Oryctolagus cuniculus: one gene and its partner. The main gene of each other region encodes a partner of the protein of the gene in region 2 in a complex. Links are inferred from orthologs where the notes say so. Each region holds a gene or a part of one and is shown on either strand. Other genes may lie near its edges.

Region 1 (3,896 bases), on a different chromosome or scaffold from region 2:
TCCATCCACCAAGGCAAGTACTCCCTGGAGAAGGAAGGGGGTTCAGAGACAGGAGGAGGAGGAAGGTGAGGAGGGCCCCGGACGATCTGTGCAGCTGCCCAGCTGTGATCTCAGTGCCAGGGACGGCGACAGCAGTCACAGCCAGGACTTGGGGGTCTCGGTCGCAGCCCCGGCTGTGCAGTTTGGCTAAGGGAGCCACCCTCTCTGAGCTCCAGGAAAAGGGCCATTCTAGGAAAGCCTTGGAAGCAAGACAGGGCTTCCTTAGCTCTGGTTCCTCAGCGGTGGGGGTGGGGGTGGAGGTGGGGTGGGGAATGAGCACGCAGGGCTAGCCTCCACCTAGCACTTGCCAACCCCTCCCGCGCCCACCGCCAGGGCTGAGGCTGGGGCTCCCCCTCCGCGACCCTCCTACCCCAGAGAAAATTCTTCCTAGGCCACCAACCCTTACTCACCCGGATGGTGCTTTTACCATGAACACCTGTTAAAACTCAGCTTATGACCAGTGTCTGATGCTGCCCCGGGAGTGTTTAATTAAATATTACTCATGCAGGAAGCAACCCTGCCAACTCACCCCCAAACGGCAGGGTTCACTTTCAGAGAAAAAGAGAGGGGAGGAGAGAGCCTGCTGCCCCGGGGTGCCGGCGCCCCACTTTCCAGAACAACCAGGAAAAGGCAGGCTAAGCGACACTCAAAGCACACACGTGCACACACTCCCCCACGGCACTGGCAAACACACACGCACTCACCCCAGACACACTCACAGCCTCACATACACACACCAGACACACACTCACAGCCTCACATACACACACACACACATTCCCATCAAGACACACACACTCATATACACACAACATACACACACTCCCAAGACACATGCACTCACACTTACACACATTCTGACCAAGACACACACACACACTCAGACACACAGGGTCACTCATACTTTCATATTCACACAACACACACTCATAGACTCACTTTTACACACTCACAGTCACACACATACTCACTCTCACTCTCCCACACACACACTCACACACACCCATACACACTCTCACGATACTCCCCCACTCTCATATACACACACTCCCACACACTCAGATTCACTCACACACGCCCATACACACTCATGATACTCCCCCCACATGTACACACTCACTCTCCCACCCACATTCACAGTCATGCACACTCCCACTCCCACACACACTCTCACGATACTCCCCCAGACTCACTCACACTGTTCCACACACACTCACAATACTCCCTTCCCACTCACACTCTCACACATACACTCACTCTCCCACATACATACACACTCCCCCACACACTCACGATACTCCCTCCACACATTCTCACACATACACAAACACACACTCCCCCACACACTCTCACGATACTCCCCCCACTCACACACACGCACATACACACACACTCATGCACATACACACTCACACACACACTCTCCCACATACATACACACACCTATACACACTCACACTCTCCCGCACACACCCATATGCACTCTCACAATACTCCCCCCACTCTCACATACACATACTCACACTCCCACACACTCAGATTCACTCACACACACCCATACACACTCATGATACTCCCCCCACATGCACACACTCTCCCACCCACACTCACACTCACACTCTCCCACATACACACACCCATACACACTCACACACACTCACACTCTCCCACATATATACACACACCCACTCTCACGATACTCCCCCCCACACTCTCACACATACACTCACACTCTCCCACATACATACACACACCTATACACACCCTCACGATATTCCCTCCACACACTCACACACATACACTCACACACTCACACTTCCCCACACACTCTCGATACTCCCCCCACCCCCACACACACATACACTCTCCCACACACGCACATACACTCTCACGATCCTCCCCCCCACTCACACTCTCCCACATACACACACCCATACACACTCACACTCTCCCGCACGCACTCTCTCTCTCACACCCACTTCCGCAGTCCCCGGCCGCCCCGGTCCACTTGGTTCGGAGCCCTGAACTTGAGCGGGACAGGGACCAAGCCCCGCACGAGCGACCCATCCCGAGGCTCCACCGACAGAGCCAGGCTCCCCTTGCTTTTCTGTTTTAATCGATTTCCTGACACAACCTCGGGCTCGCCCTCTGCGGCCGAGAGAGGCCACAGCGGCTCCGGGGCGCGGGAGGACGGCGCCGCCCGGAGGGCTCCCCAGGGGAGGCGCTGAGGGCCGGCCGGAGGCGCCCTGAGGGGCAGTCGGGCCGCTCTGCAAACTCGGGCCCGAACTGGCGGGAAAAGCGAAACCAACTTCTCCGAGCGGGGTCGCGCTGCCCCCCGTGCGGGAGGCGGCGGGCACGGTCGCGGGCTCGGAGGCCCCGGGGCGCCCGGGCGCACGGACTCCGCGGCTCCACCCCCGGCCGGCGGTCCCCGCCCGGCCTCGGCCCCGCAGGTGGGACCCGGGCGGCCGCAGCGGGCAGCGGCGCTGGGCGGCGCCCGGCCCCGCTCCGGGACGCGCGGCGAGCGAAGGGCGCCCGGGGCCTCCGCGCCCCGCCAGGTCCCCAGCCCGGACCCCCACCGGGCCCCGGGCGCCGCCTCCCTGCGTCCCGCCCCTCCCGGGTCCCCGGTGCCCTTCACGCTCCTCCACCCACCGGTGCTCGGTGTCCGGCGCCGCCGCCGCTCTCCCGGGCCGAGGAGCTCGGGCGCCCGGGCCGCGCCCGCCGCAGGGAGCGAAGCCGCCTCCTCCCCGCGGCCCCGGCGCCAGCGCAGGAGCCTGGCCGCTGCTGCGAGCGCGCGGACTGTGCGGGAAGAGAAAGCAGCCGCGGGCTTTAAAGTGCAAAAAAAAAAAAAAAAGGAAAGGCTCCCGTGGGCGGGCCCGGCCCGCCCAGGCCCCGACCCCGCCCCCGGCCTCGGACGCGCGGGGCCCAGCGCTCGCTCGCCCCCTCCCGGAGGCCGCCCGGGCGAGCGAGGCCACGGCCTTGGCGCTGTGCGCCCGCGGCGTCTGTCTCTCCGGAGGCCGGAGGGAGGCCTGGGTTGCAATAACGCGAGGGGCGCGGCCGTGCCAGGCCCGGGGGTGGGGGCAGGGCTTCCTAATTTAAACGTCTTCGGGGAGAATGGGAAGTTGTTTCAAGTGCAAGACCTCGCTTGCCTTGTCTGAAATTCCCAGCGGGTTTCTGCGGTTTTGGGGCGCAGGGGAGCCTCCCGCTGCTCTGTTTGGGGGCTCAGGACCGCCAGACCCCGAGGGCCCCCGGGCGCCTGGGCACCCGCTGTGCTAGACCGCTAGGCGCGCCTGGCAGCTCCCTGAATGCTTGTGGAATGAATGAATGAATGAATGATGGTGCTGCCTCGGAGGACTTCTCACCCCTGGCCTGGACTGTGGCTCTGGACCCACAGGAAGCTGTCCTGTCCTGCTCCAGCCCAGAGGCACGGGACTGGGCAGGTCTTACAGAAATTACTGTTTTAAGAGCAAAATCTCCTTACACCCCCGCCCCTCACGGTGTGTAGCTTGGCCTTCCTGGAACAGCGGTGATGGTGATGAGCCAGGTGTTTCCCTGGTTAATCCTCACCATAGCCCCGTGCCGGCAGCCGGCTGTTGTGAGGCTGAGGACACGGTGATGGGCCAGAGACGGAGCCTGGAACCGGCTGCCGTGGCCGGATTCCAAAGCTGGAGGTCTTCTCACGCCACTGGGCTACAGCCCCCTGTGGTTTTGACCCAGGGTCAACATGCAGAGGCTCCACCGAGTGCGGGGGGACAGGGTGGCTTCAGTGGCCCTTCCACAATGTTGTCTGGGCAAGCTGGGCCCTGGCCCGTGGCGGCAGCCGCTGTGGGCAGCCTGGGGGTCCCCCAGAGGCTCCCTTC
Region 2 (3,896 bases):
CATATTTTGCGCAAGTAGCAAACCACAAAGGACAGTTCTGCTGGCTGATAAAAATCTTTTCGAAACACTCATACAAAAATACACTCTGAAATGACACTCTAATTTTCCAGACATGGAAATCATATTAATACTTAAATATCTGTATATTTTTGATATATGCCAAACTGACTGCAAATACTTTTACTTAAACCACGAGATTAGTAAATTCATAATAGTTATTTACTGGATTGCAAAGTTGAGAAAATTAAAAGGTCGGGGGAGTAAAAGGGGAAAAAAACGTGGAATCTCAGGAGCCAACAAGAGAAAGATGCAGCTTACTTTGGGTCAAACAAGGTAGTTGAACCACTTCCCCCAAACCGGTGAGCTACTCTTTAAAGCAACCAAACCCTGCTTAGAATTGCTTAGTTTTGTTTCAGGCAGAGCGAAGTGTCACTAAGCAGGTATTTTTTATCACCCTAAGGAAAAGATGCTGCTACTTGCAAAAATGTCGTGAGACCACTCAGAACTACCCAAACAAAAACATAACAACAATCACAACAACAAAAAAGCCTACCACAAATGCCTTCCAGAAAAGAGACAGTCTGGGCAAACAGCATCTCTATAGTCCTAAACATCACAGGGGGGAAAAAAAAAAAAAAAAAAAAAAAAGACGTACACTGGGGAACGCTACGTAGTAGAAAGTTGGTTAGAATATGAAATAGGACGTAGGTTCATTTGGATCTACTCGGCTTTGCGTCCAGGGCAAAATAAAGCTCTCTTGGCTAATGCTAAGGCCACACTTCCTTTACAGGTGCTTGTAAACACTGTTTAGACAGAAGAGATAAACTGATAAGTTGAGAAGGACACGTGGGAAACCAGAGGGTGTCGTCATCATCACGAATCAATTTTCCTAACTGGTGAGCAAAAACAGGTCCAGGTAGTAAAGGGGGGGCCCTGGGTCTGAGACCTTGGCCAGGAAGCCAGAAAAGCACGTGTCCTACTCTGGGTTTGGGAACTTCCCGGGAAGCGCTGGGTTCCCAGTAAAACTCCATCACCCTCTGGCTGCCTCACTCGGGAGAAAGCAGACGAAGTACGAGTCGCCACGGGAACACGCCGGCCCCGAGGCCCGGGAGGGAGACCTCGGAGGCGGCGGCCCGTCCAGGACCGGCCGCGGCCCCGCCCGGCTCACCTCCGCCGCCGGGATGTTGACCACGCCGGTGGAGCGCCGCTTCTCCCGCAGCTTCCTCTTCTCGATCTGCCCCTTGCCTTTCCTGGCACTGGGGCCCGAGCTCTTGCCCTTGTCCGGGGCGCCGTCCGGCTCCTCCTCGTCGCCCCGGGGCTGCGGAGCGCCCGCGGCGGCGGCGGCGGCGGCGGGAACCGCGGAGGGGCCGGGGGACTCCTCCTCCGCGCGCCGCGGGCCCGGGGCCGCCCGGCTCAGTCCTGCGGAGCCGACGGCGCAGTTCACGCCTCCCGGGCCGGGGGCGGCAGGTGCGGCCGAGCCGCCCGGGAGGTTGTTGTTGAGCTCGTTGGTCGCTGCGGCCGCCGAGGTGGCCAGAGCCCCCACTGGGGGCTTCCCGGCCGCGTCGCTGCTGCCCCCGCCCGGGACGGCCGGGCCCGGGGGGTTCTGCTTGGCGCGCATCTTCTCGCGCTTCGCCTTCCACTCCTCCAGGAAGTCTGTGGTGCTGCCGCCGAGGCCGCCGCTGGCCCGGTAGCCACCGGTCGCCATATTCCCAGAGGGGCCGGTCGGGCTAGCACCTCAGGCCGTCCACCCGTGCTCCTGCCGCCGCCGCCGCCGCCCCTTCCTTCTCGTGGCCAGGAGGACGCGAGCGAACGACCCCCACCCCGGGCGCGGGGTGACCGCGGCTCCTCCCGCAGCCCGCGAGTCTGAGGAGAAACACAAAGGGGGCGGAGAGGGGCAGCGTCAGGTCCCGGCCTGGCCGGAGGGTCTGCTAGTCGACCGCGCGGCGCGGAGCCCCCCAGAGCGTGCCCACCGGTGCCGCCGGCCAGTGGCTACCGCGTCCCCACCCTGCAAAGTTTCTCCGACGCACCTAGACCGCGGGCGGGACGATCACCGCCCCTCGCGGGGAGGAGAGAGGAGCTGACCCCACCCCCGGCCGGCCCGCCCCGCTCCATCCCCACAGAGTCCGCGTCTGCGGCGGTCTGGCGACCCCGGCCGGACCCTGCCACCTGTCGGCCCGACGGGTCGCAGGCTCCTCGCCCCGGCCCCCGCAGGTCCAGAATCCCCGCCACCTACGCCCCCCAAACTCTGTGCGAAGAACCGCACCCCGAGCCGGCTCGCGGAGGGGGGCGGGGACCCAGCTGTCCGGCCGAGCCCCAGGAGGGGATGGGGTGCGCGAGCCGAGCTGGGGCGGCCGGGGCAGCTCCTTACCTCGGAGGAGCTTCGGGCGAGGTGGCGCGGGGCTGGGAGCGGGTGTCCAGGTGAGCCGAAAGCGCCGAGCGCTCTCCGGACGCGTGCAGGGAGTCCCGGCACACTCGCAGTCCCAAGGCTGTGCGAGGCTCGCAGGGAGGGAGAGGCGGGGGGTGGGGGGAGCCGAGCGGCGCCGAAGCGCGGGCGGAAAGGGCCGAGGCAGCGCGGGGGGCGCGGCGCGCCGTGGAGCCGGGGGTAGGGCCCGCCGCCGCCACGCCCCCGGCGCTCAGGTGCGCGGCGCCGCGGCCCGCCCGCCGCGCGCCCTCATCCCTGCGCGCTCCGCGGCCGCCCGCGGGTCCGACGGCGCATTCCTGAAGCTGCCGGCTCGCGGTGGCCGGCCTCCCGGCGCCTCCGACTCCGGGCTGGGGACGGCTCTCCACGCCGGGCTCCTCCCTGCGCCTGCTCGCCGCTCCCATCTCCCGCCGCTCTCACTTTTCGGTACAGGACCAGATCATTCGAGGGAAAGCCTGAATGGCCGCTTGGCTGAGAAGGAAAGTGCCATCGACCTGGGAGGACTCAGGGCCTGACTGGACAGTTTGGGGAAAATCCCCATGCGTCCCTTTTGCTCGTCACTGCCCACTTTCAGATGTTCTGGGCTGGCGGGTACGGAAGCAAACCCAGCAACTCCTAAAAATCCTGGGTACACGGGGCTTACTGTCCCTGCATTATCAGTGTACTATTGTGTTAGGCTTGCAGGAGAAAAGCAAAACTTATTTCGAGTATTTATTGTGTGGGCGATCCCTATCTTATTCGGAATTTTCCTCTGACCCCTGTCTCGACATCTGCTCTTTCCAGAAAGTGAGTTCAGCCAGCAATACTCCCTACCAAAGTGCTAAAGCTGTGTTAATGCTGACTTGAGATGAGCTGGGCCGCTGATTCTCTTTGTCCATCCTTAACTGGCCGTAGGGTAACTTTTGCCCCGTGCTGAAAGTCATCTGTGATTTGTGTCGGCGTTTGGCTGGGCTGTCGCTGACAAGCAGCAGAGGAGGGAGCGTTGCAGGTTACAAATGCCAGGTCTCCATTTTGTAGGACAGCCTTGAGTCACATTCTTACCTAACGTGAAGGCTGTCTTCCTGCTTAGCATTCCCGTTTAGCACAGGTGGCACATGGTGGGTGGGCAGGCAGTGTGAGCCTGTCACAGGAATGGGAACAGAAGAAAGTGACTCACACACTGTCTATTTTGCAGAAGGAAAGTCGCATAGTTCTGGTCTTTGATCTCTTGAGGTAAGCAGATGCGTAACTGCAGAAAGATCTGGAAAAATCTTTGGGAAAACAAAGGCCTGTCTTGAGAAAAGGTTTAAAAGGTGAAGTAGCCGTTTGCCTAAGTGATACCAACATGGGTGTGCCACCTGAAATTTCTCAATTATGCATTCGTTATTTTGATTTCTGAGTTTAAGGGGGAGGAGGATTGGAAGATTGGGCATTAAACATACTCGCATTAACATGCTTTGTAATTTATCAGAGGATTTTCTCTTGGAGGGACCACAAG

Evidence for each region.
Region 1: the proteins of PAWR (region 2) and SPSB1 are in contact, whole or in part, in a crystal structure (PDB 2JK9), measured with the Homo sapiens proteins. The link is inferred for Oryctolagus cuniculus from reciprocal best matches to the Homo sapiens genes PAWR and SPSB1. Residues at the interface, in NP_001341661.1 of Homo sapiens: Glu68, Leu69, Asn70, Asn71, Asn72, Leu73, Pro74; in NP_079382.2 of Homo sapiens: Arg77, His78, Pro79, Val80, Ala81, Gln82, Gly110, Thr111, Tyr129, Val216, Trp217, Gly218.

The regions. Positions count from the first base shown.
Region 1 is NC_091438.1:158,700,673-158,704,568, forward strand, and holds the start of SPSB1 (SPRY domain-containing SOCS box protein 1), read right to left. Parts: upstream 2,856-3,896; 5' UTR 2,689-2,855; intron 1-2,688. UniProt on the Homo sapiens protein: Substrate recognition component of a SCF-like ECS (Elongin BC-CUL2/5-SOCS-box protein) E3 ubiquitin-protein ligase complex which mediates the ubiquitination and subsequent proteasomal degradation of target proteins.
Region 2 is NC_091442.1:82,485,417-82,489,312, forward strand, and holds the start of PAWR (PRKC apoptosis WT1 regulator protein), read right to left. Parts: upstream 2,510-3,896; 5' UTR 2,369-2,509; intron 2,052-2,368; exon of another isoform or gene 1,864-2,051; 5' UTR 1,706-1,863; coding exon 1,169-1,705; intron 1-1,168. UniProt on the Homo sapiens protein: Pro-apoptotic protein capable of selectively inducing apoptosis in cancer cells, sensitizing the cells to diverse apoptotic stimuli and causing regression of tumors in animal models.